Linked DNA regions of Anolis sagrei. The protein of the gene in region 1 purifies or fractionates together with the protein of each later gene. This does not show direct contact. Links are inferred from orthologs where the notes say so. Each region holds a gene or a part of one and is shown on either strand. Other genes may lie near its edges. The genes, in order: MPHOSPH6, EXOSC7, C1D and ZFC3H1.

Region 1 (8,263 bases):
CCTCCAAAGAGAACTTCCCTTTAGGTCAACTGGGCGCTTCTTTCATTTTCAGGAGCGATTTCTCCCCGTAATGGAGTGCACTCGAGGCAGCTCCATTTAGAATCATAGAATCATAGAACCAAAGAGTTGGAAGAGACCACATGGGCCATCCAGTCCAACCCCCTGCCAAGAAGCAGGAATATTGCATTCAAATCACCCCTGACAGATGGCCATCCAGCCTCTGTTTAAAAGCTTCCAAAGAAGGAGCCTCCACCACACTCTGGGGCAGAGAGTTCCACTGCTGAACGGCTCTCACAGTCAGGAAGTTCTTCCTCATGTTCAGATGGAATCTCCTCTCTTGTAGTTTGAAGCCATTGTTCCGCGTCCTAGTCTCCAGGGAAGCAGAAAACAAGCTTGCTCCCTCCTCCCTGTGGCTTCCTCTCACATATTTATACATGGCTATCATATCCCCTCTCAGTCTTCTCTTCTTCAGGCTAAACATGCCCAGCTCCTTAAGCCGCTCCTCATAGGGCTTGTTCTCCAGACCTTTTATCATTTTAGTTGCTCTCCTCTGGACACATTCCAGCTTGTCAATATCTCTCTTGAATTGTGGTGCCCAGAACTGGACACAATAATCCAGATGTGGTCTAACCAAAACAGAATAGAGGGGTAGCATTACTTCCCTAGATCTAGACACTATGCTCCTATTGATGCAGGCTAAAATCCCATTGGCTTTTTTTGCCGCCACATCACATTGTTGGCTCATTTCTTTTTGGTTTTCTGCTTGAACAATAAAAAACCTGGCTTTGCTTTATGGAGAAGCTGTCTCTTTAAACAGATTGCGCTGTTAAAAATACCAGGTTATATTTCAGCAACTAAATCTGAAAAAGAAAGGAAGAAATGACAGTTTAATCAATCTGCACCTTTCCCTTTGGATAGGAAGAGAGAAAAATCCCGACTGCCTAAAATAACCCATAAACGTTGGGAATCAATCACTCTGCAAAAAGCCTGCAGCATCAATGTTTATTAAAGCCAGGGGAGCCTTGGGTTGGCCTCAGAAATTGCAGGAAACTGTACCCTTCCAGCCGGATCACACTTGTTTCGGTGCTTAACAAATAGACTGTGATGTTTCCCTCTTTGCACTGGTTCGGATTTATCCGTGCTTTGCGAAATGGCTCAAGTTGCGCTTGTGTCCAATTCTGGGCACCACAATTGAAGAGAGATGTTGACAAACTGGAATGTGTCCAGAGGAGGGCGACTAAAATGATCAAGGGTCTGGAGAACCAGCCCTATGAAGAGCGGCTTAAAGAGCTGGGCACGTTTAGCCTGAAGAAGAGAAGGCTGAGAGGAGATATGATAGCCATGAATAAATATGAGAGAGGAAGTCACAGGGATGAGGGAGCAAGCTTGTTTTCTGCTGCCCTGGAGACTAGGACACAGAATAATGGCTTGAAACTACAGGAAAGGAGATTCCATCTGAACTTTAGGAAGAACTTCCTGACTGTGAGAGCTGTTCAGCAATGGAAGTCTCTGCCCCGGAGTGTGGTGGAGGCTCCTTCTTTGGAGATTTTTAAACAGAGGCTGGATGGCCATCTGTCAGGGGTGCTTTGAATGCAATATTCCTGCTTCTTGGCAGGGGGTTGGACTGGATGGCCCATGAGGTCTCTTCCAACTCTATGATTCTATGATTCTAAGTCCTTCTATAGCAGTGTTTCTCAACCTGGGGGTCGGGACCCCTGGGGGGGTTGTGAGGGGGTGTCTGAGGGGTCGCCAAAGACCATCAGAAAACACAGTATTTTTTGTTGGTCATGGGGGTTCTGTGTGGGAAGTTTGGTCCAATTTTATCATTGGTGGGTTTCAGAATGCACTTTGATTGGAGGTGGACTGTAAATCCGAGGAACTACAACTCCCAAATGTCAAGTCTCTTTTCCCCAAACGCCACTAGTGTTCACATTATTGAGCATTCATGCCAATTTTGATCCAGCTCCATCATTGTTTGAGTCCACAGTGTTCTTTGGATGTAGGTGAACTACAACTCCAAAACTCAAGATCAATGTCCACCAAACCCTTCCAGTAATTTCTCTTGGTCATGGGAGCTCTGTGTTCCAAGTTTGGTTCAACTCTATCGTTTGCGGAGTTCAGAATGCTCTTTGATTTTAGGTGAACTATAAATCCCAGCAACCACAACTCCCAAGTGACAAAATAACCCACTCGCCTACCCCCAATATTCAAATTTGGGGGTATCGGGTATTTGTGTCAAATTTGGTCCTGGGAATGAAAATACATTCTGCATATTAGATATTAACACTACGATTCATAACAGTAGCAAAAATACAGTTATGAAGTAGCAACAAAAATAATTTTATTGTTGGGGGTCACCACATGAGGAACTGTATTATTTATTTATTTATTTATTTATTTATGACATTTATATGCCGCCCTTCTCACCCCGAAGGGGACTCAGAGCGGCTTACAAGGTATATATACATACAATATATTATTAACATAGTACAATATCAGTTTTAAATATTGCTATATTGCACTATATCAATTATACTGTAATATTATTAGTAATATATTATGGGGTCGCGGCATTAGGAAGGTTGAGAACCACTGTACTATAAGTTGGCAAACTTGGTTTGGAAAAGAAGGGAATGAGTATTGGTAACTTTGCCAGAGAGAGAACTGGAGAGAGAGAACTAGAGAGAGAACCTGTGCCTTTAAGGCATTTCAATAGGTATAGTTTGTATGTTGTGTTTTCTCATCGGCTTCCCTATGCGGTCAATGGTTCCCTTGATGTATGGCAAGAACACTTTTCCTCTGGGTGGATCTTCATCTTTACTCTCATGGCTTGTTCTTGGTCTTGCAGCTCTTCTGATGTCTGAGGTGGAGTCTCCATTGGCCTGGAGAGCGCAGTTGAGGTGGTTCAGTTCATCTTGGAGGAGGTGGGGTTCGCAGATTCTTTTTGCACGGTCTACCAAGGCTTTAATGGTGCTTCTTTTTTGACTTGGGTGATGGTTGGAGTTTTTATGTAGATATCTATCTGTGTGTGTGGGTTTTCTGTGGACGGTGTGACCCAATTGTTGATCTGGTTTGCGGATGACTAGGACATCTAGAAAAGACAGTCTTCTTTCATTTTCTTTTTCTATAGTGAATTGGATATTTGGGTGGATGCTGTTCAGATGGTCCAGGAACCTGTTGAGTTCTTCTTCTCCGTGGCTCCAAATGGTGAAAGTGTCATCCACATATCTGAACCATATCGTGGGCTTTTTTGTTGCTGTCTCCAGGGCTTGTTTTTCAAAGTGTTCCATGTAGAAATTAGCTATGACCGGGCTGAGAGGGCTCCCCATAGCTACTCCATCTTTCTGTTCGTAGAATTCATTGTTTCACCATTGCCTCACCATCAGCTACTTTCAGTGGGACAATGAAGTCTATGAAGGAAGACTGCCTTTTCAAGATGTCCTAGTCATCCGCAAACCAGATCAACAATTGGGTGTACAGAGAATAACAATTAAGATCCACCCAGAGGAAAAGTGTTCTTGCCATACATCAAGGGAACCACTGACCGCATAGGGAAGCTGATGAGGAAACACAACATACAAACTATCTACAGACCCACCAAGAAAATTCAACAAATGCTACGTTCAGCAAAGGACAAGAAGGATCCTCTCACCTCTGCAGGAGTCTACCGTATACCATGCAGCTGTGGACAAGTCTACATAGGGACCACCAAACGCAGCAATGCCCAAACACGAATCAAGGAACATGAAAGGCACTGCAGACTACTCCAACCAGAGAAATCAGCCATAGCAGAGCACCTGATGAACCAACCTGGACACAGCAGATTATTTGAGAACACAGAAATGCTGGACCACTCCAACAACCACCATGCCAGACTACACAGAGAAGCCATTGAAATCCACAAGCATGTGGACAATTTCAACAGAAAGGAAGAAACCATGAAAATGAACAAAATCTGGCCACCAGTATTAAAAAACTCAAAAATTGCAACAGCAAAACAAGTAAACAGAGTAAACAATCAGGCAAATCAAATCACTCTCAACAAAAGATTCCCCCCAGGCACTTCCAAGCCATTAAATGCTAATCAAGGTGGTCAGTTGAAACATTCACACCTAGCTCCAGCAGACAAAAGTCCTTTGTCTCACCCTGGTATTTCCACAGATATATAAACCCATTTTCCTACTTCCAACAGACCTCACTACCTCTGAGGATGCTTGCCATAGATGCAGGCGAAACGTCAGGAGAAAATGCCTCTAGAACATGCCTCTACAACAACCCAGTGATTCCGGCCATGAAAGCCTTCGACAATACCTTGTAGTTTTGCTGCCTGGACTCAATGCCAAGGAATCTTGGGATTTGGAGTTTGGTGAGCCACCAGCACTCTGTGGTAGCGAAGGCTAAAAGGCCTGTAAAGCTACAACTCCCACAATGTATTGTCGAAGGCATTCATGGCTGGAATCAATAGGTTCTTGTGGGGTTTTTTTGGGCTATATGGCCATATTCTAGAGGCATTTTCTCCTGACGTTTCACCAGCATCTATGGCAAGCATCCTCAGAGGTAGTGAGGTCTGTTTGGAACTAGGACAATGGGTTAATATATCTGTGGAATGACTGGGGTGGGGCAAAGAGCTCTTCTCTGCTGGAGCTGGGTGAGAATGTTTCAACTGACCACCTTCATTAGCAATTGAAGGGAGAATCTTTTGTTGAGAGGTGTGAAGCTGTGCTTGGTTGTTTCCTCTCTGCTGTTTTGCTGTTGTCATTTTTGAGTTTTTTAACTCCCACAATCCTTGAGTCACGGCAGTCAAAGTGCATTAATCCAGCAGTGTAGGGCATGTCTAGTTAAAGCTTATGCGCATGCTCCCTGCCAGGTTCTGAAAGGGCCGGAAGAGCAGCTTCACTGCCTGTAACTGAGCATGCGTACGATTGACGCACCCCGGGCATGCGCAGTCGCAAGAGAGGCGAAGGCGAGTCTGAAGAGACGCCGCGCCGCCACGTGACGAGTCCAGGCGGGCCCTCCACACCTTCTTTCGGCCATGGCTCGCGACGTGAAGAGCAAACTGTCCAAAAACCTTCTCCGCATGAAGGTAATGGGGCGGCGGGAGGGGGAGAAAGAACCGGTTTCATGGCCCTTTCGGGAGTGGGCGGGGTCTAGGCGGCTCTTCCCGAGCGGCTTCGGCAAGCGTCGGCTAGCCCCTCCCACTTCCGAAGCCCTTCGGCCGCAGGAGGCGAGGTGCGGGGAGAGGAGCCGAGTGGTCTCGGGAAGAGTCGCTAGGCCCCTCCCACTTAAAGCCCTACATCAGTGGTTCTCAACCTTCCTAATGCCGTGACCCCTTAATACAGTCCCTCATGTTGTGGTGACCCCCAACCATAATATTGTTTTCAATGCTACTTCGTAACAATCATTTTACTACTGTTATAAATCATAATGTAAATATCAGATATGCAGGGTGCATTTTCATTCACTGGACCAAACTGGCCACAAATACCCAATACACCCAAATGTGAATGCTAGTAAGGTTGGGGGAGGATTGATTTTGTAATTTGGGAGTTGTGTTGTTGTTCATTCGTTCAGTCGTCTCCGACTCTTTGTGACCTCATGGACCAGCCCACGCCAGAAACAGACATAGAATCATAAAAACAGACATAGAATAATAGAATCAAAGAGTTGGAAGAGACCTCATGGGCCATCCAGTCCAACCCCCTGCCAAGAAGCAGGAATATTGCATTCAAATCACCCCTGACAGATGGCCATCCAGTCTCTGTTTAAAAGCTTCCAAAGAAGGAGCCTCCACCACACTCCGGGGCAGAGAGTTCCACTGCTGAACAGCTCTCACAGTCAGGAAGTTCTTCCTCGTGTTCAGATGGACTCTCCTTTCTTGTAGTTTGAAGCCATTGTTCCGCGTCCTAGTCTCCAGGGAAGCAGAAAACAAGCTTGCTCCCTCCTCCCTGTGGCTTCCTCTCACATATTTATACATGGCTATCATATCTGCTCTCAGCCTTCTCTTCTTCAGGCTAAACATGCCCAGCTCCTTAAGCCGCTCCTCATAGGGCTTGTTCTCCAGACCCTTGATCATTTTAGTTGCCCTCCTCTGGACACATTCCAGCTTGTCAATATCTCTCTTGAATTGTGGTGCCCAGAATTGGACACAATATTCCAGGTGTGGTCTAACCAAAGCAGAATAGAGGGGTAGCATGACTTCCCTAGATCTAGACACTATGCTCCTATTGATGCAGGCCAAAATCCCATTGGCTTTTTTTGCCGCCGCATCACATTGTTGGCTCATGTTTAACTTGTTGTCCACGAGGACTCCAAGATCTTTTTCACACGTACTGCTCTCAAGCCAGGCATTGTCCCCCATTCTGTATCTTTGCATTTCGTTTTTCCTGCCTAAGTGGAGTACCTTGCATTGGTTCCTGTTGAACTTCATTTTGTTAGTTTTGGCCCATCTCTCTAATCTGTCAAGATCGTTTTGAATCCTGCTCCTGTCCTCTAGAGTATTGGCTAAGGTAAAGGTAAAGGTAGTCCCCTGACATTAAGTCCAGTCATGTCTGGCTCTGGGGTGCGGTGCTCATCTCCATTTCTAAGCCGAAGAGCCAGCGTTGTCCGTAGACACCTCCAAGGTCTTGTGGCCAGCATGACTGCATGGAGCGCCGTTACCTTCCCGCCGGAGCGGTACCTATTGATCTACTCACATTTGCATGTTTTCGAACTGCTAGGTTGGCAGAAGCTAGGGCTGACAGCGGAAGCTCACGCCGCTCCCCGGAATCAAACCTGCGACCTTTCGATCAACAAGCTCAGCAGCTCAGTGCTTTAACCCACTGCACCACCGGGGGCACCAGAGTATTGGCTATCCCTCCCAATTTGGTGTCGTCTGCAAACTTGATGATCCTGCCTTCTAGCCCTTCATCTAAGTCATTAATAAAGATGTTGAACAGGACCGGGCCCAGGACAGAACCCTGCTGATGGCACTCCACTTGTCACTTCTTTCCAGGATGAAGAGGAAGCATTGGTGAGCACCCTTTGGGTTCGTCCATTTAACCAATTACAGATCCACCTCACTGTAGTTTTGCCTAGCCCACATTGGACTAGTTTGTTTGCCAGAAGGTCATGGGGGACCTTGTTGAAGGCCTTACTGAAATCCAGGTACGCTACATCCACAGCATTCCCCGCATCTATCCAGCTTGTAACTCTATCGAAAAAAGAGATCAGATTAGTCTGGCATGACTTGTTTTTGATAAATCCATGTTGACTATTAGCGATGACCGCATTTGTTTCTAAGTGTTTGCAGACCACTTCCTTAACAATCTTTTCCAGAATCTTGCCTGGTATCGACGTGAGGCTGACTGGACGGTAATTGTTTGGGTCATCCTTTTTCATCATCATCATCATGTTCCTCATGGGACATACTTCTTACCAGCACAATCAAATTCTCCTCTTCCTTTACATTTTAGCTTAAGATGTTTACTTCAGACCAAAGGTCGTCCTTGTTTTAATTGGAACTAAAGGTCGTTCTTATTTTGGCCAAGTTTTGCCTCCACTTCCAATGGCAGGACCTGCCAATGTGCTAATGTTACTTGTGGTTTCCTCGTCTCATTTAATTTCTCCCTCTCTGCTCCAACCCATCAGCGTAGTCACGTGGAGATGGTCCAGCGAGAGATATTAACAAGAGCCCTGACCTCACCATTGCCCTTGGATTTGCAAATCCGGTGCTGAGCCCAAAGTGGAATTAGTCTCGGCTCGGCGGTTAATGGACTCCGTTCCTGTCCTATAATGTAACACATCACTCAGTGGAAGAACGCAGTGGCGAGATTGATGATCGCTCCGTTTTCTCAGAGAACAACATCTGAGTCGAGATTGCCATTAATTTTTTAAAATATAAATATTCATTAAATATGTATAACTCAATATCGTCGGGCCTTCATGGTTTGTTTGCTCCGGTTTTGCATTAGCGCCATTCTCTTTGTATCTCCATCTTTCAGGATGCGGCGCCTTTGAGGCACATGCAGAGCAAAATGCTCCTTTCTCTCTTTTCCGTCCATTTCCTCTCCAAACCCGAGGATTGAAAGCAGTTCTTTGTGATTGAGGGCGAAGGCTCGCTGTCTTTGCTTGGAAGTAAATCCCACTTGTTCAGGATCTTCATTTGGAAGTGAATTTGACTGTCTTTGGTCAGTGACGTTTCTTAGTGCCCATCTCTGATGTTTCCACACAAAGCAGGATAATTTTATTAGATTTGCTACATTTGCTCTGAAGGTAAAGTGAGGAA
Region 2 (8,084 bases), on another chromosome or scaffold:
GAAGACTGGGCCACTTGGAAGGAGCTGAATGGACTGTGTTCTGGCACCACAAGATGCAGACCTAAGCTTAAGGAGTGGGGCTACAAAGTGAAGTCCACAACATGTGAGTGTGGAAAAGAGCAAACCACAAACCACGTACTACAATGCAGTCTGAGCCCTGCCACATGCGCAATGGGGGACTTTCTTATAGTGACACCAGAGACACCTGAAGTGGCCAGCTTCTGCTCAAAGGAAATTTAGCATAATGCCAAGTTTTTAACTTTGTGGTTTTTAAAATACATTATAACTGTATTCTTGGGCCCCCTGGTGGCGCAGCGGGCTAAACCGCTGAGCCCCTTCACTTGCTAACCAAAAGGTTGGCAGTTTGAATCTGGGGAGCAGGGTGAGCTCCAACTGTTAGGGCCTGCTTCTGTCAACCTAGCAGTTCAAAAACATGCAAATCTGAGTAGATCAATAGCAGGAAGGTAACGACACTCCATGCAGTCAAGCTGGCTACATGACCTTGGAGGTGTCTATGAACAATGCCGGCTCTTCGGTTTAGAAATGGAGATGAACACCACCCCCCAGAGTTAATGTCAAGTGAAACCTTTACCTTAACTGTATTCTCTATTTGCTTCTGACACGATGTATAAAAAACTAGATCTTGTTTGGTCTTGGAGACTAGTAACGTCAACTCTGCTTAGTACTTGGATGTGAGAACAATAATGAATAATTGAATATCAGGTGCTGTAGGCTATATTACAGAGGAAGAAACTGGGGGAAACCTATCTCCGAGGATTCCTTGCCTAAGAAATTTAAAAGGGTTGCCAGTGAGGCCTGTTCTACACTGTCATATAAAATCCAAATTATCTGCTTTGAACTGGATTATATGACAGTGTAGACCAGGGGTCTTCAAACTAAAGCCTGGGGGCCGGATACGGCCCTCCAAGGTCATTTACCTGGCCCTTGCTCAGAAACTACTTTTTTTTTGTTGTGTCATGAGCGACTTGAGAAACTGAAAGTTGCTTCTGGTGTGAGAGAATTGGCCGTCTGCAAGGACGTTGCCCAGGGGACGCCTGGATGTTTTGATGTTTTACCATCCTTCTCGGAGGCTTCTCTCGTGTCCACGCATGAGGAGCTGGAGCTGATAGAGGGAGCTCATCCACGCTCTCGCTGGATTCGAACCTGTGACCTGTCGGTCTTCAGTCCTGCTGGCACAGGGGTTTAACCCACTGTGCCACCGGGGGCTCCTTGAAAGTACATGACTTGAAAATACACAATAACAATCCTATCTCATCAGCCAAAAACAGGCCCACACTTCCCATTGAAATACTAATACGTTTATATTTGTTAAAATTGTTCTTCATTTTAATAACTGTTTTAAAGTGTTTTTGCACTACAAATAAGATTTTTATTTATCGTGTCAGGGGCAACAAGAACATTGTATTACATTTCTAACAGAACAAAACAAACAAAAAAAACACAGAGTTTGCAAGCTTGGTAGTTGATTAAATGTCCTTTGACCAGTATCTGGCCACTTGGAGTGCCTCTGGTGTTGCCGCAAGGAGGTCCTCCATTGTGCATGTGGCAGGGCTCAGGTTGCATTGCAGCAGGTGGACAGTGGTTTGCTCCTCTCCACACTCGCATGTCGTGGATTCCATTTTGTAGCCCCATTTCTTCCCATTGAAATACTAATACGTTTATATTTGTTAAAATTGTTCTTCATTTTAATAATTGTTTTAAAGTGTTTTTGCACTACAAATAAGATTTTTATTTATTGTGTCAGGGGCAACCAGACCATTGTATTACATTTCTAACAGAACAAAACAAACATCTCGTGGTGCCAGAGCGCAGTCTGTTCAGCGCCTTCCAAGTCGCCCAGTTTTCTGTGTGCCCAGGGGAGAGTCTCTCATGTGGTATCAGCCATTCGTTGCGGTTCTGGGTTTGAGCCTGCCACTTTTGGACTCTTGCTTGCTGAGATATGGACAGTGTGCATAGAAATTCATTCATTTTTTTCCTAATTTTTTCCCTAATTATAATCTGGCCATCCAGGTTTGAGGGACTGTGACCTGGCCCTCTGTTTAAAAAGTTTGAGGACCCCTGGTGTAGACTCATATGTTGTTGTTCATTCGTTCAGTCGTCTCCGACTCTTCGTGACCTCATGGACCAGCCCGCACCAGAGCTCCCTGTCGGCCGTTACCACCCCCAGCTCCCTCAAGGTCAGTCCAGTCACTTCAAGGATGCCATCCATCCATCTTGCCCTTGGTCGGCCCCTCTTCCTTTTGCCTTCCACTTTCCCCAGCATAATTGTCTTCTCTAGGCTTTGCTGTCTCCTCATGATGTTGCCAAAGTACTTCAACTTTGTCTCTAGTATCTTTCCCTCCAGTGAGCAGTCGGGCTTTATTTCCTGGAGGATGGACTGGTTGGATCTTCTCGCAGTCCAAGGCACTCTCAGCACTTTCCTCCAACACCACAGCTCAAAAGCATCTATCTTCCATCTCAGCCTTCCCTAAGGTCCAGCTCTCACATCCGTAAGTTACTAAAGGGAATAACATGGCTTTGACTAGGCGGATCTTTGTTGCCAGTCTGATGTCTCTACTCTTTACTATTTTATCGAGATTGGACATTGCTCTCCTCCCAAGAAGTATGCGTCTTCTGACTCATATAATCCAGTTCAAAGCAGACAATCTGGATTATATGCCAGTGTAGAAGGGACAGGCAGCTTGAAGCACATCAGGAGGGTATGTAGCTCGTTCACAATAGAGAAACACATATAATGGGCTTTAAAAATAAGCATAGGAGTGTGAATACGCAACCAGCAGAGAGGAAAATGCACTCTGCACATGCTCTGACACTTTCAGTTATGAAGCGGCCTGACGGGCAGTCAGTTTAAACGCTGAAGTAGGCGAGGGACGCCTTCCCCGGCCCTGCCTCCTCCCCGCGGCCGTTACCTGGACGCCGTGAACGATATACACTTTCTCCGCTTCGCTCAGCACCACCGAAGCCATGGTGAGGCAAGAGCCAGCCTTCCGCGCAGCCTCAGAACGCCCCCAGTCTGCCCGCCTACTGCTTTCACTGCGCCTTCTAATGACGCAAGGCCCCGAACCCTGTACTCTGCTGGCGCGTGGGCGCGATTTTCCTGCGTCATCGCCCTGAGTGATTCATCCTTACTCCCGCGTTCCAGACAGAGAGGGCTGATCAGAGCTGCGTTGTATGTCGCCTAGGAATTTCCCGCCTCTGCTGCAGTCCTTCCTAGGAAGGGAGTGATGGCACTAGATCAGGCATGGGCAAACTTCGGCCCTCCAGGTGTTTTGGACTTCAACTCCCATAATTCCTAACAGCCCTTACGGGCCTGCAAGCTCAACTTCAACATAAGAAGGGTCCACTCTGTACTGTCTCTCCACATTTGCAGTTTTGACTTTTGCAGATTTGATGACTGGCCGACACTCACTCGGTGCCTCAAATGTTAGTCCTGTTTCTGGGTATATTTGACCTGCTGATTTCAAGAATGGTACTAGTTTCCCCCTATCCATTATAGTGTTTGAGATACAGAACAAATGCCACATGCCAGTCTCCATCTGCTCACCTATAGAAAATCATGATGACAATATCTAAGGAAATAGAGCTGATGTCTATCCATTGCAATTTTCTGAATCAGTACCCTAAATAACCCCAACGAATGTGGAGGGGTGGCTGTATTTCTTGCTTCATGCTCAGAGCCCTTTTGGAAAACCACGTCAAAGAACAATATAAAAATGTACAAAATGCAAAGATGCATACTTTCAGAAATTATACAGACATGATGGTGGCTTACATGCCTTGGTCTCCTTTTTAATAGAATTGTGTTATAAGCAATATATATATAGCATGCATATTGTGCATGAATGAGATGTGAGATTATACTCATGTTTTTTTAAAAGTATACATTTGCCCCCAAAATAAGTCCCACTGTTTTCAAGAGAACTGTCAGTGAAGTATGCAGTAAGATTCTAACTGATTGGCCTGAATGAATGAGTTACAACTAACAACTGGGAAAACTTAATTTGTTCATAATGGCACATGTATATTGTGAATAGGTGTTGTCACTGCTTTGTATGCAGCATCCGTTTTGAGTAGATGTTGTGTATTTTGATGATTCTAGAGTTAGCATTCTAGGATTGTAACAGGTCTGTAAAACTGCTGTAAAACGTTGTCAGATTTAGAGCTCTGTATGAGCATACTAATGACACCCAACTATTCTTTAACATTTTGGTATTATTCTATTCTGAATGAAAAGTAATGCCTCCACCTTCATAACTCCTCAACAGATGGCAGTACGTGTATGCGGCAGATACTGGCTTGTTCAGTAGACTGTCCTCTATAGTTCCATTTTGGCAGGAAGCCTTAGCATTGAACAGTTGTGAGAAGTACGGAACCCTGCGCAGATGGTCAGTCAATGCAACTTAAGCAACATGCAGTCATTGAATTCTTGACAGCAGAAGGTGTCACCCCAATGGAGATTAATCAGAGAATGCAAGCTGTTTATGGTGATTGTGTTGATGTGAGTACTGTGCGTCATTGGGCAAGTAAGTTTAAAGACCTACTGTGCTATTGCACGCTGGGCCTGTGCATAAGACTGTAGACAGGACATAAATTCCGTGTGCCCAACGGGAAACCGGGGCTGCCTCAGATTAAAAGGCCCTTGGATTTCCTTAAAACAGAGTCTTCAGATTGCTTAAAGGTTCAATAAAGTTCTTTATTATTGATGAAAACAAACAGGTACTTCAAGGCTTTCTTAACAGTCTATTGGCTCTCAATCTTGTCCACAGGGAACAGGCAATATCTTCATAAACTGTATTTTAACAAATTGGGAAATCCTTAACTTCTAATCTGGGCAGTCTGTCTTTATCTCTGTTGGCGTGGAACCCCTGCACCCGGTACCAACTGCTTCTGGCTTCCGCGAGTGACCTTTACCAAACAGAGCTTTGTAGACTTCCAGAGGAAAAAGGAGTTCAGGTTTCAGTGATGGCTGGCTGAAGTCTCTCAGCAAAGGAGCTGTAAGCCTGTATGGTCCTCGGCCAAGCTGTGGGCTGTATAACCCCGGCCAAGCTGTAGGCTGTATATCTCCCCAGCCAAGCCATAGAAGACGAAGCTTTCTACAGGAGATCTTGGTATTATGTCCTGCATGGAAAGCTTCTCTGTGTGGACTGAACCCAAAAAGGCTCCTATTCCCTCAAAAACCCAAAAAAGGGGGCAAGACCAGGCAGGCATGTAGCCGGGGGGGGGGGGGGGGGGGGCTTGGGGGGCTTCAGCCCCCTCTCCTGAAATTCTGATGGTGCTCCGCGAGAAGGCCTTACTGGTACATTATTAAAACTGTTATGATTATTCATATCATGATCTGATCACCGTGCTCAATATATCCCATATGCATGGGGGTATTGGGGTAACAATACAAAAGATTTGCTAGGGTAAACCCTCTTTCACTCAGACTCAGCCCCCTCCCCGAACCAAACTCAGCCCCCCCCCCCAAACAAAATCCTGGCTACGGGCCTGAGACCAGGGAACCTAACTATAATTGACAGGTGGCTTGCCCTATGATTGCAGCCAAAATAAGCCACCTATCTGCAGAGTCCCTGAAACTCAGGACTATAACAAACATTAAATGCAAAGCAAACAAAATTGGAGCTCCTGGTGCAGTTGTACCTGCACAACCTACAACAACCTATTAGTAAGTTGGTTCTCAACTGTTTCAAAAAACACTTTTCTTCTTCTATGATGTTGATTATTATTATTATTATTGTAAAATTCCAGCTCCTAGAACTTCCTAGCAATGAGGCATGGTGGTCAAAGCGGTGCCCCGTTGCATTCATTCCACATTTCTCCTTCTCACTCAACTTTGCCTCCTGCTTTGTTTGCGTCCGCGAGGGAAGTAATAGTAACCAGGAAGGGTTGGTTTCACGTCGGGTTACGTCACGTGGGGGCGCGCAGCCAATCGGAGCGAGCCAGGAGCCGCGCCATGATAGCAACAATGCGGTTGCTGCAGAAGCCAGCCAGAGTGAAGGGAGGGAGGGGGAGCCCGGAAGTGAGCGACGCCGACGGTGGCCCCGCCCCCTGGCCTCGCCTCCCTCAGCGTGGCTCACTTCCGGGCTTCCTCCCCCTCAGTGTAGAACGCGAATGAGGCGGCAGTCAGAGTGAAAGGGAAGAGCCAAGCCTTCGCCGCCTCCCTCCCTCCCTCCGGGCGGGCGGGCTCTCCCCGGCTGGGCGGATGGAACGCCGCGCTGGGAGGTGGAAGGTCGACCCTGGCAGGGAAGCGCGGGCCCCTGGCGGAGTGGAGGCGGCCTCCTCGGCGGCGGCAGAGCGCGTGGTGCTTCCTTCACGGCAGTCTGGGTAAGGTTTCCGCGCGCGCCTCTTCCTGGAAGGGAGGGGAGGGAGGAGGAGGAGGAGGGAGAAGCAAGGGCTCCCTTCACCCCTTTCTTGATCTGCTGTGGAATCCTCGGGGTTGTGTCTTGACAGGGTCTCTCTCCATAGCCTCTCCTACTCACGAGGGCTGGTGCCTCACCACATTACAGCAACCCAGGATGCTATGGCAGTTGGAAGTGGAGTCACACCGCATTCATTCTACCGTGTAGATTCCTGGCACACGCCCACAAGGGGGCAATTTCATTTCTAAGCCAATTTAGAAATGAGTTACTAACAGTTAATTTCTTCAGTTCTTGTGGGTTTTTTCGGGCTATATGGCCATGTTCTAGAGGCATTTCTCCTGACGTTTCGCCTGCATCTATGGCAAGCTTCCTCAGAGGGTGCCTTGCCTTTCTTACCGTTCTAGAGGCCTCATCCACAGTGTGTATATGTGTGTGTGTATGCATATATCTATATAAATAAAAATGTAATGCTCGTTTGTGGGATTAACATAACCCAAACCATAACCACTGGACGAATTGACACGAAATTTGGACACAAGACACCTATCAGGCCAACAAGTGTCCCATCACCCATAAACACACACACACACACACACACACAAAACCCCAGCGGAACAGACTTAAAAACCCAAAAAATACACCATATATACATACATTCATATATTTATTCATTTACTTCGCTTGTATACTGCTCTTCTCAGCCCTTAGCCGACTCAGCGGTTAACAACAATTCCAATATACACAGTAGAAAATCATTGGACATTTAAAAGCAAAGCGATTAAACATCAAACATCAATACATCAATTTAGCAAATCCATCACGTCTCATCAATAAAATCAGAATCCAGTCTCCATATCCATTTTCCGTGTTCCAATAATCAGTTGCACTGCCTAGTTGAATGCCTGTTCGAACAGCCAGGTCTTCACTCTCCTCCGGAATGCCAGTAGGGAGGGGGCCGATCTAATATCCATAGGAAGGGCGTTCCACAGCCGAGAGGCCACCACTGAGAAGGCCCTGTCTCTTGTCCCCGCCAGGTGTTCAACATGCACACACTCATAGACACACAAATACACACATACATATATACATGCACACATATACATATCCACATGCATACATATATAGACACAAATATGCATATAGACAAGCACACACATATACACAATATGCATGTACACATATAAATACACAAATATATACACACACATATATAGACACACATATATACACAAATATATACACACATGCACAATATGCATGTACACTTATAAACAAACAAATACATAAATATATACACACATATATACACCCACATATATTTATGCAAACACACATATATACACAGATATATATATATGCACACACAAAACACATATACACAGACTGGGCCACAGCAACGTGTGGCAGGGGACAGATTGTGTGTGTGTGTGTGTGTATATATATAGATGCTTTGTGCATAATGACGAAAACGAAAGAACCAATGAACAAAATCACACCAAATTTGGCAACAAAACGTCTCACAACACAAGGTGTGACCATCACTCAAAAAAAAAAATAAGATTTTGTCATTTGAGAGTTGTAGTTGCTGGGATGTATAGTTCACCTACAATCAAAGAGCATTCTGGACACCGCCAATGATGGGATTGAACCAAACTTGGCACACAGGACTCCCCTGACCAACAGAAAATACTACAAGAGTTTGGT
Region 3 (7,595 bases), on another chromosome or scaffold:
TAGTTTTTCCAGGGGATTAGCTATCCTTGAAAATGACTCCAGACCTCTCTACATCTAGTTTCCTTTTATTTCAGTGAATTACCATTATGTCTGTCAATTATCAGACAGGTAATGTCTCATCAACTTCTAGAATACCAAGAAATACAAAAGCAAGGTCAGAATGAGTATATTTCTCAATCCACCAAAACTCAACGTAAAAATTATACTGTCGTGCAACTGTGCAGAACATTATAGCATGCAATTCAGAAATGTATGGCATCACATCTGTGTAAAACAGATCAATACAATAGACTTTGCAAAAATCTTATCTTGTGGGAAGCCTTGGGGAGAGGTGGTAAGAATTAAAATGTGTTGTTCTTGTTATTGTGGGGTCCAACATCTGATACATTTTCATATAGTTTAAAGAGGAGCCTTGGGAGATGGAACTGAAGGTGACTGACATGAACTGTACATACCCAGTTAGCAACCTCAGATCACTGTGTATGGTATCCCATGTCTCAAAGACCTTCCTTTGAAACCTTTTCTAGCAATCGTCTGATAGTAAAAACCAGCTAAAACCAGCAAAATTTAGACAATTCCTTTCTCCTACTATAATTTCCAGATTCCCAGAACCATATGGTCACTTCTATCTACACTGGGTATGTTCATTTGAGCATTTTAGTCCAATATATTCAGGACAAACAAACAAACCTCTTTTGGGTAAACAGAAATCTTTTCTGCTATCCTGAATCCAACTCCACAGCCAAATGGGATCTCCACTTTGAGATAAAGACTTAATGCCAGGGAGGGTAAAAGGGAGCACAGCTGTTTCCAAGCCTTCTCTGTTGACTTTCTAGAAGAGATACCATGGCCCCTTCCACATAGCTGAATAAAATCCCAAGTTATCTGCTTTGATATCTGCTCTTTTAACTGCGATGATAATGTTTTAATGTGTATGGTGCTGACATTTTAATCGTATAATGAAGTGGCATTGTGTTGTTATTGTATATTTTTTGTATGTTAACACATGTTGTGAACCGGTCCAAATCCCTCTTTGAAGGTGAGAGAGTCAGTATATAAAATCTCCAAATAAATAAATAAATAAATTTGAACTGGGATATATGACTATATGGACTCAAGATAATTCAGTTCAAAGCAGATATTGTGGGATTTTCTGCCTTGATATTTTGGGTTATATGGCTGTGTGAAAGGGCCCCTAGTAAGTTGTTATCATAATAGAACACTGGATGAGATGGCCTGATCGAGCATCTTTTTAAAATTATTATTTTTAATCCTGGGGAAAAAACAAAGAGCTGAGCTTTCCCTTCGTTCTTGCAAAATACACTACAGTCCCTTCCACACAGCTAAATAAAACCCCACATTTTCTGCTTTGAACTGGTATATACGGCAGTGTCGATTCAGGTAACCCAGTTGAAGGAAAATATTGTAGGATTTTTTGCCTTCATATTCTGGGTTATATGGCTGTGTGGAAGGGCCCTACATCTTGATAAAGGGTTTCTAGGAGGCATTAGATGGACCATATGGGGAGAGGGGGTTCAAGCTCCCTCCCCCAAGACTAAGCAAGCGAGTGCTGACACCCCCACATGATCTTGCAAAATTGGACCACTGAAGCTCCAATGCAGTTGGCTTGCTTTGAGTTTTTCGGGCTGTATGGCCATGTTTCAGCAGCATTTTCTGCCGTTTCACCTCCATCTGTGGCTGGCACGCTCAGAGATTTGTTCAGAGGTCTGTTGGAAATTAGGCAAGTGGAGTGTGTATATATCTGTGGACTGTCTGGGAGTGGGGAGAAATAACTCTTTTCTGTTTGAAGCAAGTGTGAATGTTGCAATTGGCAAGCTTGATTAGCATTAAGTAGCCTTGCAACTGTAAAGTCAATCAGGCTAGTTCTTTCATTCAGCATAGCTGTGATGAGAAAATGGAATGAATTGTGGGCAAATCTGCTAAAATATCAATGTCTTTCTCCTTGTTATTAAAGGTTACTTATTTTATTTTATTCTTCTTCCTCTGAACATACATTCATTCTCTAGTGGAGATATACTCCCTGCAGGGTCTTCCTGCCATCTATCCTCTGCTCCCTTTCCTAGGATTAAGGCCCCTTCTACACTGCCATTGTCTGCCTTGATATTTTGAGTTATATGGCTGTATGGAAGAACCTTGAATCCACACTGCCACATCATGAGAAGGAAAGCTTAGAGAAGACAGTTATGCTGGGGAAAGTGGAAGGAAAAAGGAAGAGGGGCCAACCAAGGGCCTGAAGAAGAGAAGGCTGAGAGGAGATATGATAGCCATGTATAAATATGTGAGAGGAAGCCACAGGGAGGAGGGAGCAAGCTTGTTTTCTGTTTCCTTGGAGACTAGGACGCGGAACAATGGCTTCAAACTACAAGAGAGGAGATTCCATCTGAACATTAGGAAGAACTTCCTGACTGTGAGAGCCGTTCAGCATTGGAACTCTCTGCCTCAGAGTGTGGTGGAGGCTCCTTCTTTGGAGGCTTTTAAGCAGAGGCTGGATGGCCATCTGTCAGGGGTGATTTGAATGCAATATTCCTGCTTCTTGGCAGGGGGTTGGACTGGATGGCCCATGAGGTCTCTTCCAAGTCTTTAATTCTATGATTCTATGATTCTAAGATGGTTGGATGATATCCTTGAAGTGACTGGACTGATCTTGAAGGAGCTGGGGGAAGTGACGACTGACAGGGAGCTCTGGCGTGGACTGGTCCATGAGGTCACAAAGAGTCGGAAGTGACTGAATGAATGAACAACAACATGGAAGAACCTTGAATCCACACTGCCATATAATTCAGTTTAATTTGGATTTTATACATCCATGTGGAAGGTCATATAATCCAGATTAATAAAGAAGATACTCCAGTTCAAAGCAATGTAGATTATCTGAGTCTACACTGTCTTTTAATCCAGTTCAAAGTAGATAATCTGGATTTTGTATGGCAGCATAGTTACAATGAAACCATGGAGGGGATTGCGTTTCTGTTTTGTTTTTATATTTAAAAGTGGCTCATTCAGAATAGATGGACGATCATTCAGCAATAATAACCCGCCTGCCTTGCTGGGCGGTGTCGCTGAAGAGCTGGGACCCCAACAAGGCTTTCTCCCCCCAGAGACCCATCCAAAAGAGAGAAGCATCAACTAACCTGCGCCCTCTCTCTTCCTTCCTTCCTTTCTGCCCAGAGGCTTCCTACCTTCCTTCCGGTGGCGTGGAGGAGAGCGAACGTGAGGGGGCGTGGCTAACGTAAGGGGCGTGGCCAGAATGACGTACGCGGAGGCGCTTCCTTCCTCGCAGGGCCTCAGCAGACAGGAAGGCCTATTGTTGTCCATTCCTTTCCCTTGGCGCTTTCTCCACCGTGTCTGAGGGGTTTGGGTTCAAGGGAAGGCCTTCAAATGGGAGAAAGGGTTCCAATCCTATCTATAACCAAGCCTATGGTTCTCTTCAAGAATGGCCATCAGACTGGAAAAAATCAACTTATATCCCCAAAACTAACAAAACGAAGTTCAACAGTGACAAATGCAAGATACTCCACTTTGGCAGGAAAAAACGAAATGCAAAGATACAGAATGGGGGACAATGCCTGGCTTGGGAGCAGTACGTGTGAAAAAGCCAATGGGATTTTGGCCTGCATCAATAGAAGCATAGTGTCTACATCTAGGGAAGTAATGCTACCCCTCTATTCCGCTTTGGTTAGACCACACCTGGAATATTGTGTCCAATTCTGGACACCACAATTCAAGAGAGATATTGACAAGCTGGAATGTGTCCAGAGGAGGGCGACTAAAATGATCAAGGGTCTGGAGAACAAGCCCTATGAGGAGCGGCTTAAGGAGCTGGGCATGTTTAGCCTGAAGAAGAGAAGGATGAGAGGAGATATGATAGCCATGTATAAATATGTGAGAGGAAGCCACAGGGAGGAGGGAGCAAGCTTGTTTTCTGCTTCCCTGGAGACTAGGACGCAGAACAATGGCTTCAAACTACAAGAGAGGAGATTCCATCTGAACACGAGGAAGAACTTCCTGACTGTGAGAGCCGTTCAGCAGTGGAACTCTCTGCCCCGGAGTGTGGTGGAGGCTCCTTCTTTGGAAGCTTTTAAACAGAGGCTGGATGGCCATCTGTCGGGTGATTTGAATGCAATATTCCTGCTTCTTGGCAGGGGGTTGGACTGGATGGCCCATGAGGTCTCTTCCAACTCTATGATTCTACCAAAAAAGGGAAATGCGAAAGACTGCTCAAACTTCCATACAGTGGCCCTTATTTCTCATGCCAGTAAGGTAATGCTCAAGATCCTGCAAGGAAGACTCCAGAAGTACATGGAGAGAGAGTTGCCAGATGTACAAACTGGGTTCAGAAAAGGCAGAGGAACGAGAGACCAGATTGCCAATATCCGCTGGATAATGGAGAAATAGGCAAAGAGGCTGCATCCCATCTGTGGGGGGATGCCTTCTGAACCCTGTGGCTGCCTTCTGAAGGATTCTGGGACTTGTAGTTTAGAGAGGAGGCCTTAAAATGCTCAGCCAGAGAGCATTTGAAGGCCCTGGATCTCACTAAACTACAAACCCCAGAATTCTGTAGGAAGAAGGCAACCACAAGGTTGTGGAGGCATGCATCCACTTGTCCTACTCTTTCAGCTCTAGTGTGATAGACCCTGGTGTTATTTCTTGGGTCCCACTAAGACTGATGCCATCTTGATTGCAGATGTTTTTATTCATAAATGGCAGATAATGTTCTCTGATAATTTTTGTCACTTGTTTTCTCCCATTTGTCATGTTATAAGGTATTGGAGGCACATGCACAATGGAGGACCTCCTTACAGCAATGCCAGAGGCACTCCCAAGTGGACAGCTACTGGTCAACAAGCATTTAATATAATGCCAAGTTTTTAAACTTATTTTTTTAAATACATTACAACCGTATTAAATGGAGCCCCTGGTGGCACAGTGGGTGGCACACTGAGCTACTGAACTTTCTGTCTGAAAGGTTGCAGGTTCGAATCCGGGGAGCGACGTGAGCTCCCACTGCTAGTTCCAGCTTCTGTCAACCTAGCAGTTCGAAAACTTGCGAATGTGAATAGATCAATAAGTACCACTTTGGCGGGAACATAACGGCGCTCCATGCAGTCATGCCGGCCACATGATCTTGGAGGTTTCTACAGACAACACTAGCTCTTTGGTTTAGAAATGGAGATGACCACCAACCCCCAGAGCCGGACATGACTGGACTTAATGTCAGGGCAAAACCTTTACCTTTTAGTACAACTGTACCCTTGGTTCACTTCTGATACGATAAATAAATCGGAGGCACAGTGCTGCAGTGGTTCCACTCATGCCTCTCAGACAAGTTCCAGATAGTGGTGCTTGGGATAGTTGCTCCTCAAAAAAGGCGCTTTTATGTGGCATCCAACAAGGTGCCATTCTATCCCCAATGCTTTTTGATATTTACATGAAACTGTTGAGAGAAATCATCCATGGGCATGTGACAGGGTGTTATCTGTATGTGAAAGGGTCTTTGAGCAAAATTTCCAAATGCTAAGCAAGGGGCTTTGCATGAAATTAACAGCAAAAGAGAAATATACCGTTTCTCTGTAGAAAAAGAGCAACACGGAAGAAAATGTTTTTAAGAAACAAGATGTGACATGTAGAGTTCATACAAAGTTCAAACCTACATAGGCAGTAGTTGTGTTGTGGTTAAGCCAAAGGTTGTGGTTAAGCACAGTGTTTGCAGGTACAAGAAGGTACTTTCCATCAAAAGGTCAAGGGAGAGGGGCTAGAAAGAGAATACTTTCCATGACCAAAAAACATGTTCTTGTTTACTTGAGGTTATATAACGGTGTACAAAAGCCAAGGGAGCGTGGCAGTCACTTGAAGGGTGGCATCTGCGTATGCTGCCAGGCTGTCCGTCTTCTTCATGAAGAAACTAAAATAAACCTTGTTTTTTGATCTTTTTTGGGGACTGTCTCCTTCCTTACGTGTTCCCATGATGTGGACCTAAGAAGACCCAATTTAGGGTCTCTAACATATGCTGATGACATCTAAATATATTTCTCCATGCTTTCAAAAGCAGCTACAGCTAAGGGTAGCGTGTCTCTGGTTGAATGAATAGTGAGACTAATTGTGAGACTAGTTGCTAGAATAATACCATCCAAAACCAGAACTTGGGAACTTTAGTTTGGGATGCCTGCTTGTGGATTCTGGAGCTGCAGTCCAAAACAGTGACTTTTCCAAGAAAAGAGCAACACACGAAGTTTGTGTGTACAGATCATTACACACAGCTTCTCAGTGCCAGGTACTTCTCAGTACCAAATACTGAGAAGGAAGACGAGAGAAGAGAAAATGACACAGTAGTTTAACATGTGATGATCAGAAAGGGAGAGGATCTGCATGCCACACTGAGAGGCTAACATTTCTATTTTGCAGACAATATCTATATAATACTGCACTATAATCAAAGAGTGCAGAAAACTGCCTGCCTTCATGACCTCCTTTTAACTTTTGAGTCGAATGACTGTATTTCCTCTTGGTTTAATTAGATTAGAAAGATCCTCTATCTCCCAATGACCTCTCTCCACCCCTTTTATGAAAGAGTGTTTCTCATCAAAATTTAAATGCAAAAGTAAACAGAATAAAATAAGCACAATTTTGCTTTAGGGTTATTTTTTCCCCCCAATGATTATACGGTGCTTTCTGATTAAAGCATTTTCTCTCTTTTTTTCTTTTTTAAAAAAGCAGGAAAGAGAGGAAGATCAACAATGAGATAATGAGACTTAGCACAAATCAAAAGAAGTTGCCTGTACAGTGATACCTTGATTTAAGAGTTTGATTAGTTCTGTCACTGAGCTCTTTTTAAAAAACTTTTTTCACTCGTGATTTCTTTTCACCCAATAAATTTTTACATGACCCCAAGTATAAAAGTATATAAAATAAGTATAAAAATCAAACATTAACTGATAAGTCAGCATTTGCAAGGCTTGCTAAACTGGCAGGTTTTTCTTTTTGTGGAGTACAGTCCACTGTAAATATTTTGTGTTGCTGCTAACGGATTTGTCTAAATGGATGGTTCAGAAGCCTTTTATTGTCACCAAATTTCTCATGATCCCAACATTGAGCTAATAGTCCAGGCCCCTGGCAGCTTACCTTCCATGAAGAAGAGAGCGTAACTGGTTTTAAATTGATTTTAATGTATATGTTGTGTTAACAGTTTATGTCTATGTTTTTGATTTATATAGTATGTTTTTGTATTATTTTGCATATGTGGAAAATAGGGCGGTATATAAATATATATATATATATATATATATATATATATATATATATATATAATTTGAGATCAAGACCCACAGATTGAGAAGTGAACTGATACACAAGAAAATTAATCAAAAACTAGCCAGAATGTCATTTTATTTATTTACTGTTCTGATTTTAGAGCATTAAAACACTCTAAAATCAGAACAGTAAATAAAGATCAAGACTCAAAAAGCAGGGAAATCCAGTCAAGAATAAATCAGGGCCAGCTAACACCTCCCAACAAAGGATTCCCCCAAGCAGCAAGCAGCCAGACCTTGAAGCTGCGGGCCATTAAATGCTAATGA
Region 4 (8,157 bases), on another chromosome or scaffold:
TCCTATGCACACTGCACATATCTTATTTGTAGTGCAAAAAAACCCTTAAAAACAATACAATAATTGAAATGAAGAACAATTTAAAATGTATAAATTTATTAGTATTTCAATGGGAAGTGTTGGCCTGCTTTTGGCTGATGAGATAAGGATGTTGTTGTGTCCTTTCAAGTCATTTCAGACTGAGGTTGACCCTGAGCGAGGGCTGGGTAAATGACCTTGGAGGGCCGCATCTGGCCCCTGGGCCTTAGTTTGAGGACCCCTGGCATAGACTGTATAGAGATAGAAAGAATATTAGAAAATACTTTTACCAGTGGTTACCAGGGGAGTGTTGATGTTAGGCAACCATGATGAGAATCCTATGTGGTGAAAATAATCACAGTTGAGGACTTATTTTTGCACACCAGAAATACATGTGGGCTTTTGCACATAAAACAATTATGCACAGAAAATACCATGCAATTTGTGTGCGTTTGTGTAATTTATTTTGCACAGAATGAATCTCAAACTATGATTAGTTTTCAAAACTGTGCAGTTCTCAATTCTTTTGCCACAACACTAAGAAAATGGTAACATTATTTATTCTTGTAACAATGAAGATTTATATCCCTAGTGCTAATAAACTGTTGTCCCTCTGCAAAGGTGATGGGAAGAAATGCAACATAAACAAAAAATCCAGCTACAAATGTAACTATCTGAAAAGTTAGAAACCACATTTTGCTTGTTTTAGCTAAAGGCATAGGTTTGCAATGAACATAAGCCCCTTATAGAGCTTGCCTTGGAACAAAAGTGTATAGGAAAAGTATGTATCAGTTTATGGTTGTATTAAATCTTTTCCAAAGTAATTAAGATCTAAAGAGAGAGGGGGCCCATTTAAACTGACCATATAATGCAGTTCAATTTGCATTACAATAGCAGTGTAGATGGGTCCAGAACTGAACCTAGATAAATTAGTTCTAGACTAGCAGGGCAATTGGTTGACCAATTGGTAGAGAAAGTGCTGCAGGTTTTAAATAAAATAATATGGTTATTATGAACTAGAAATATTTATCTGCATCTTTATAGAAGACCGTGATTACCCTCCCCTTCAACTCTAAAATCTAATGTTGGAAGTGATTACAAAAAGCCAGCATGCTATAGTAGTTTGAGTGTTGGACTATGACTCTGGAGACCAGAATTCAAAATCCACTGCTAGTCCATGAAAACCCACTAAAGAAACACCATCTGAAGAAATCTTACCAAGAAAACATGTCAATTCAGGAATAGTTTGGGTAAAGTAGGCCTTACTACATAACAAATATTAATTGGAGAATATTGCGCGTAGAGAAAACCTGTGTACTATATCTACATATGTGGACTCTAGCAAGGAAAGCCTAGGTCTCTATAACAAGCCTATACAGTTCTAAACAAATTTAAGTCCTTTGAGAAATTTAAGTCCACAAGAGCCATGTTTAAATATGTGAAAGAATGCCACACTGAAGAGGAGGTAAGCTTGTTTTCTGCTGTTCTGGAAACTAGGACACAGAGCAACTGATTCCATTTGCTGTGGGAGAAAATACATCTAAAGATTAGGAAGAACCTCCTGATGGGAACCTTTGAGGCTTGAGATGTTAGACTGCAACTACTAGTATTCCTCATTGTTGGCTGCGCAGGCAAGGATTGCTGGAAGTTGCAGTCTAACAGCATCTGTCTAAGCTTTTTAAAGCCTAGACTGGATGTCCATCTGTCAAGGGTGCTTTTATTGTGTGTTCCTGCATGACAGGGGGTTAGACTATATGGTCCTGGAGTCTCTTACAACCCAATAATAATAATAATAATAATAATAATAATAATAATAATAATAATATACACTGCCACAAATACCATCTTCCTGTGACAAAGAATGGGTGGTATCACAAGCCTGAAAAAGTTTCAGAAAGTCAAACTACTCTGGGACTTCTGAATTCAGACTGCCAGAGTTTTAGAGCACAATACTCCTGACCTCACGATCGTGTTAAAAAACAAAGTATGGATCGTCAATGTTGCAATCCCAGGCGACAGCAGGATTGAAGAGAAACAACTGGAAAAGCTGACACGATATGAGGGTTTAAAGATTGAACTGCAAAGACTTTGGCACAAGTTAATAAATTGGTCCCAGTGTTGATCGGCACACTCGGTGCAGTGTCTAAAGACCTTGGCCTGCATTTAAAAACAATTGGCGCTGACAACATTACCATCTGTCAGCTGCAAGAGCCCACTCTACTCGGATCTGCACGCATTATTTGCTGATACATCAAATAGTCCTAGACACCTGGGAAGTGTCCAACGTGTGATCAATACAAAAGCCAGCATAGTGATTTTGTTTGCTGTGAACTAATCTTTTTGTATATCAAATAATAATAATAATAATAATAATAATAATAATAATAATACACTTTATTTATATCCCACCCTTCTCCCCTAGGGGACTTGGAGTGGATTACAGCATTTACATACATAGGCAAACATTCAGTGCCTTCTTTACAATCATATACAATGAGACATACAAACACAAACCAAGGCAGAGGCTTCTCCTTTCATTTCCGGCTTCTGGAGGCAGTGATCATCTCTGGCTCTGGGGAGGTACTTTTCTCCATTTTCAATCTGAGGAGCTTGAAAATGAGAATTGTCCTGGTTGTGTAACTGGCAAGATTGTTTGGAGCGTCTCTTTGCCTTTTTCTGCCAAAGCAGTACCTTTTTATCTACTCACATTTGCATTTTTTCAGACTGCTAGGTTGGCAGAATCTGGAGCTGACAGACAGGAGCTCACCCCGTCTCATGGATTTGAACTGCCAACCTTCAGGTCAGCAGTTCAGCAGCACAAGGGTTTAACCCATTGCACCACCACAGAGTCCAATTATATGAATAATAATGCCAGTAGGAAAACTGAGGTTGAAAACAGTCACGGCTGTGACTAGCAGTGATGGGAGGCTGCGAACACACATGCAACATGATAAACAAAGCTTTGAAGTTGACCAAGCCACAAGATGCCTGGCAAAAAATGGACTCAAAGGGCACAGAGTCTAGAAATTGTGAGTTTTTCCTTTTTCCATCCACTGAAATGACCCCTTGAGTCAAGACTGCTTTTGTAATGAAGCCCTATCACTTCCCTTACTTATGTTATTATTAGGGACTAGCTGTCCCCTGCCACGCGTTGCTGTGGCCCAGTCTGTTGATCTGGAAAATAAAGTAATGAGAAAGTGTTGGCTCCTAATATATGTAATTTCTTGATGCTTGTGGGTAAACAGTATTTCTTGTTGTTTCTTTGTCAGAGTTGATGTGGAGATTGTGTGGTTTGCCTACTCTGGAAAATGCAACATAGAATTGTCCTTCTTTAGGGGTCCCTTTCAAATCTATGATACTATATCTGTGGTGTGTGTGTGAATCTTATCTATCTATCTATCTATCTATCTATATCTATGGCTGGCTGGCTCTTTGTCAGGAGGATTACGTTTTCTTGCCCCAGGGAGGAGGGAGCAAGCTTGTTTTCTGCTTCCTTGGAGACTAGGACACGGAACAATGGCTTCAAACTACAAGAGAGGAGATTCCATCTGAACATGAGGAAGAACTTCCTGACTGTGAGAGCCGTTCAGCAGTGGAACTCTCTGCCCCAGAGTGTGGTGGAGGCTCCTTCTTTGGAAGCTTTTAAACAGAGGCTAGATGGCCATCTGTCAGGGGTGATTTGAATGCAATATTCCTGCTTCTTGGCAGGGGGTTGGACTGGATGGCCTTAAGTATTTTCTTTTGGTCATGGGGGTTCTGTATGGGAAGATTGCCCCAATTCTGTCGTTTGTGAGTTCCAGAATCCTCTTTAATTGTAGATGAACTGTGAATCCCAGTAACTACAAATCCCAAATTTCAAGGTCTATTTCCCCCAAACTCCATCTGTGTTCATATTTGGGCATATTGAATGCTTGTGCCAAGTTTGGTCCAGATCCATCACTGTTTGAGTCCACAGTGTTCTCTGGATGTAGGTGAACTACAACTCCCAAACTCGAAAGTCAATGCCCACCAAACCCTTTCAGTGTTTTCTGTTGGTCATGGGAGAACTGTGTGCCAAGTTTGGTTCAATTCCATCATTGGTGGAATTCAGAATGCTCTTTGATTGTAGGTGAACTATAAATCCCAGCAACTGCCACTCCCAAATGACAAAATCATTTTTTAAAGTGATGGTCACTCCTTGAGTTAGTAGGTGTCTTGTGGTCAAATTTGGCAGCAATTCGTCAAGTGGTATGTCAGTTATGTTAATCCCACAAATGAAAATTACATTTTTATTTATATAGTTTGGACCTGTAGATACCAAAATGTGTGGCTACTCAAGTCTCATTATATAGCTGCCTTGGATGTTGCTCTGGGAATCTTGTTTGAAATGCTTATTTGTCAAAATGTGCATTTTAGTTATGTTTTGCTTAGTCTATAGTAGGCTTGGGCAAACTTGGGCCCTCCAGGTGTTTTGGACTCCAACTCCCACAATTCCTAGCGGCCTCAGGCCCTTTCCTTTTCCCCGAAAAGGAAAGGGCCTGAGGCCGCTAGGAATTGTGGGAGTTGGAGTCCAAAACACCTGGAGGGCCCAAGTTTGATTTGTACTAATGTTTCACTATTATTTGATGTTGATGTTTAATATGTTGTTATCTGTTCTACGGTTGTTATTGCTCTTGTCGGCCTCGCTTGTATTGTTTGACAAGCGAGCGACCTCTTATGAACCCACTACAGCGGAGTGCGGAGGAACTACACTTCCCGTCATGCCCCTGGGCGCCCCTCGCCTTTATGCTGTTTCTTTCCCCCCGCTTTCGATTCTCTGAGGAAAGAAAGGGGGGGGGGGGGGGGAGAAAGAGGAGCCGAAGCCAAGTCTCGCGAGAGCCGCGAAAGGCGAAGCTGCAGGGTGTTGGTGGCAGCGGTGAGTTGGCCGTCGCTCAACTTCGAGGGGTCTCTGAGGGGAAAGGCCCCGGATTGGAGGAGCGCCGTCCTGGCAAGCGGGCGGCCGCCTTGTTGGGGCCTAGTCAGGCGAGGCGGCTAATGGCGGCTCCGGCGGCTGAGGAGAAGACAGTGGCGGAGGCGGCTGAGGCGGCACCGCCGAAGGACCTTTCGCCGAAGGAGGAAGGCGAGCTGGAGGACGGAGAAATCAGCGACGGCGACGACGACAACAACAGCAGCAGCGGCGGGCCCACCGAGCCCAGAGGCAGAGATGACGGCGCGAAAGGCCCCTACGCCCGGCGCAGGCCTCCTCCGGACCTACGGGGCTCCCCCTTCCTCTCCTCGTCGTCCCGCCGCTTCGCCCACCTCCGCCACCGGCCTCCTCCCGAACTGGGCCACCTCCACGGCCGAGGCGGAGGTGGCGGAGGAGGAGGCTACCGCCCCAAGGAGGCCTTCCGCCCCCACCCGCAACCGCCGCCGCCCTCCTCCGCTTCCTCCTCGGCCTCCTGCTCGCGGCTGCCGCCCGGCCCTCACCCGCACCCCGACGCCGGACCCCGGCTCTCCTTCTGGGAGCGCAGCCACAACGCGCTGGACCGGTTCCGCTTCCGAGGCAGGGCCTACCGGGGCGGGGGCCGCTGGGGCAGGAGCCGAGGGCCCTGCCTCCCTGGAAGGCCCCCCGGAGGAGGAGGAGGGGGATACGGCTGGAGGGAACCCTCGCCTCGGAAATGTATCCTTCGCACAGAGTCACTCGCCTTTGCTCCTCTAGCTTCTGGGCACTTCAACGCTAACAGCCAGGGATTCTGGGATCTGAATCCCAGAACAATGCTTAAACCTTGGGCCCAGGCCCCAACCCCCTACCCCTTAGCTCAATGTTTGCTCCTCTAGCTTCTGGGCACTTCAATGCCCAGAAGCCCGAGCCAGCCTGGCTAACAGCCAGGGATTCTGGGATCTGAAGCCCAGAACACTGCTTCTTAAACCTTGGGCCCAGGCCCCAACCCCTTAGCTCAATGTTGGAAGCACCAAAGGTTCTTCCAGGGCCTTTCCACCCAGCCCATAATAGCAAGGCAGAAAATCCTACATTACCTAAGTGTGGACTCAAATAATCCAGTTCAAAGCAGATATTGTGGGATTTTCTGCCTTGATATTCTGGGATATAGGGCTGTGTGGAAGGGCCCCCCAGACAGGCCCTATATGCCAGGTTATGATCCCAGGCTTTCTGTTTATCCCAGGGCACTTCCACACAGCCCTATATCCCAGAATAGCAAGGCAGAAAATCCCACAGTATCTGCTTTGAACTGGATCATCTGAGTCCACACTTAGTTTGCAATTTTCTGCCTTGGATAATCTGGGATATAGGGCTGTGTGGAAGGGCCCCCAGACAGGCCCCATATGCCAGGATATGATCCCAGGCTTTCTGTTTATCCCGGGGCCCTTCCATACAGCCCTGTATCCCAGAAAATCAAGGCAGGAAATCCCTCAATATCTGCTTTGAACTGGATTATCTGAGTCCACACTCAGATAGTTTGGGATTTTCTGCCTTGGATATTCTGGGATGTAGGACTTTGTGGAAGGTCCCCAGGGCTCACTTCTTCACTCAGCCATGGAAATCCATTGAGTAACTATGAGCAAGTTGCTTTCTCTCAGGGCCCTTCCAGACACGGCTGTCTTCCTGGTTTTCCATTTTAAACTGGATTATATGAGGGCTTTGCGGAAAGGCCCCTTGATTCTCTGGCAGTGCAGACTCGGGGCCCTTCCAGACAGCACTTATATCCCAGGATCTAATCCCAGGCTTTCTATTTAGCCCAAATTCTCTGGCAGTGCAGACTTGGGGCCCTTCCAGATAGACCCATCCCAGGCTTTCTGTTTATCCCAGATTCTCCAGCAGTGCAGACTTGGGACCCTCCCAGACAGACCCTGTATCCCAGGATATGATCCCAGGTTTTCTGTTTTTCCCAGATTCTCTGGCAGTGGGGATTCATATAATCTCGTTTAATGCAGAAAAGCTGCAGTCAAATCCTGGGATATAGGGCCAGTCTGGAAGGGCCTCTAGTGTCTGTTTCAGACATTTACGCAAATCAGTTGTGCAGTGGGCTCTGCACAAGATGCTTCTGTTGTACTCCATAAAAAGGGAAATCAGTCTGTGTTGCTGTGAGTTTTCTAGCCTATATGGCCATGTTCCAGAGGATTCTCAGACCCCTTCCACACAGCTGAATAACATTTCACATTTTATGCTTTGAACTGGAATATATGGCATATATGGAATATATACACTTTCGGTCCAACCTATCTTCAAGACCATATCTCTTTCTATGAACTATCGTGGGCATTAATATCTGCTGGGGAGGCCCTTCTCTCAGTCCCATCACCATCTCAAGCATGGTTGGTGGGGATGAAAGAGAGGGCCTTCTCAGTGGTGGTTCCCCAGCTCTGGAATACCTTCCCTAAAGAAATTAGATTAGCCCCCACTCTTCAGACCTTCCGAGTGAGTCTAAAAACATGGCTCTTCAGATAGGCCTTTGATCCTGAGCAGTCCATGGCCAACATGATGAATCATGATAGTGCTGGTCTGCACTTTGACTGATTGTTATGGCAGATAGTCAGCCCGCAGGTTCCACTGCATTTTAGGAACGTTATAATTTTCATATTTTTATAATTTTACCAGTGAGATTTTATGTGCTGTTGTTTATGCTTATGCCATTGTTTTTAAACTGCATGTGGCACTTCTGTGCGAAGCCCCGAGTCCCTTTGGGGAGATGGTGGGCGGGGTACAAGTAAAGTTTTGTTGTTGTTTTGTTGTTGTTGCTGTTGTTATTATAACCCAGTTCAAAGCAGATATTGTGGGATTTTCTTCCTTGATGGTCTGGGTTATATGGCTTTGTGGAAGGGCCCTCTGTCTTCTGTTTAGCAAGCCATGCAAGTGCTGATCGGTTATCAGGAAATGTTTGATTTTTATACCTAATTTCTATACTTTTGTCATGAAAAAAAATGGGGATATAAAAGGGTTCTGAGTGGAAAAGTTTAAGAAGACTTGACTAAGGCTCCTTTTACATTGTCAGATAATCCAGGTTTTCACAGAAAATCTACTGTATCTGATTTGAACTGGATTATCTGAGTTCACACTACCATATATTCCAGTTCAGAGGAGAAAAGGTGGGGTTTTATTCAGCTGTGTGGAAAGGGCCTGAGACATCATCTTAAGAGGATCAAACATTAGGAGCCCCTGCAGTC

What was found.
Region 2: the proteins of MPHOSPH6 (region 1) and EXOSC7 purify together in Homo sapiens (affinity purification with mass spectrometry; 4 studies listed by BioGRID and IntAct, counting the BioPlex papers as one, with this or other methods). This does not show direct contact. The link is inferred for Anolis sagrei from reciprocal best matches to the Homo sapiens genes MPHOSPH6 and EXOSC7.
Region 3: the proteins of MPHOSPH6 (region 1) and C1D purify together in Homo sapiens (co-immunoprecipitation; 3 studies listed by BioGRID and IntAct, counting the BioPlex papers as one, with this or other methods). This does not show direct contact. The link is inferred for Anolis sagrei from reciprocal best matches to the Homo sapiens genes MPHOSPH6 and C1D.
Region 4: the proteins of MPHOSPH6 (region 1) and ZFC3H1 purify together in Homo sapiens (affinity purification with mass spectrometry; 3 studies listed by BioGRID and IntAct, with this or other methods). This does not show direct contact. The link is inferred for Anolis sagrei from reciprocal best matches to the Homo sapiens genes MPHOSPH6 and ZFC3H1.

Annotation. Positions count from the first base shown.
Region 1 is NC_090028.1:21,293,996-21,302,258, reverse strand, and holds the start of MPHOSPH6 (M-phase phosphoprotein 6), read left to right. Parts: upstream 1-4,939; 5' UTR 4,940-5,032; coding exon 5,033-5,083; intron 5,084-8,263. UniProt on the Homo sapiens protein: RNA-binding protein that associates with the RNA exosome complex. Involved in the 3'-processing of the 7S pre-RNA to the mature 5.8S rRNA and play a role in recruiting the RNA exosome complex to pre-rRNA; this function may include C1D.
Region 2 is NC_090026.1:77,391,872-77,399,955, reverse strand, and holds the start of EXOSC7 (exosome complex component RRP42), read right to left. Parts: upstream 3,067-8,084; 5' UTR 2,988-3,066; coding exon 2,931-2,987; intron 1-2,930. UniProt on the Homo sapiens protein: Non-catalytic component of the RNA exosome complex which has 3'->5' exoribonuclease activity and participates in a multitude of cellular RNA processing and degradation events.
Region 3 is NC_090021.1:156,521,208-156,528,802, forward strand, and holds the start of C1D (nuclear nucleic acid-binding protein C1D), read right to left. Parts: upstream 3,254-7,595; 5' UTR 3,201-3,253; exon of another isoform or gene 3,153-3,200; intron 1-3,152. UniProt on the Homo sapiens protein: Plays a role in the recruitment of the RNA exosome complex to pre-rRNA to mediate the 3'-5' end processing of the 5.8S rRNA; this function may include MPHOSPH6.
Region 4 is NC_090025.1:144,272,403-144,280,559, reverse strand, and holds the start of ZFC3H1 (zinc finger C3H1 domain-containing protein), read left to right. Parts: upstream 1-4,856; 5' UTR 4,857-5,031; coding exon 5,032-5,656; intron 5,657-8,157. UniProt on the Homo sapiens protein: Subunit of the trimeric poly(A) tail exosome targeting (PAXT) complex, a complex that directs a subset of long and polyadenylated poly(A) RNAs for exosomal degradation. The RNA exosome is fundamental for the degradation of RNA in eukaryotic nuclei.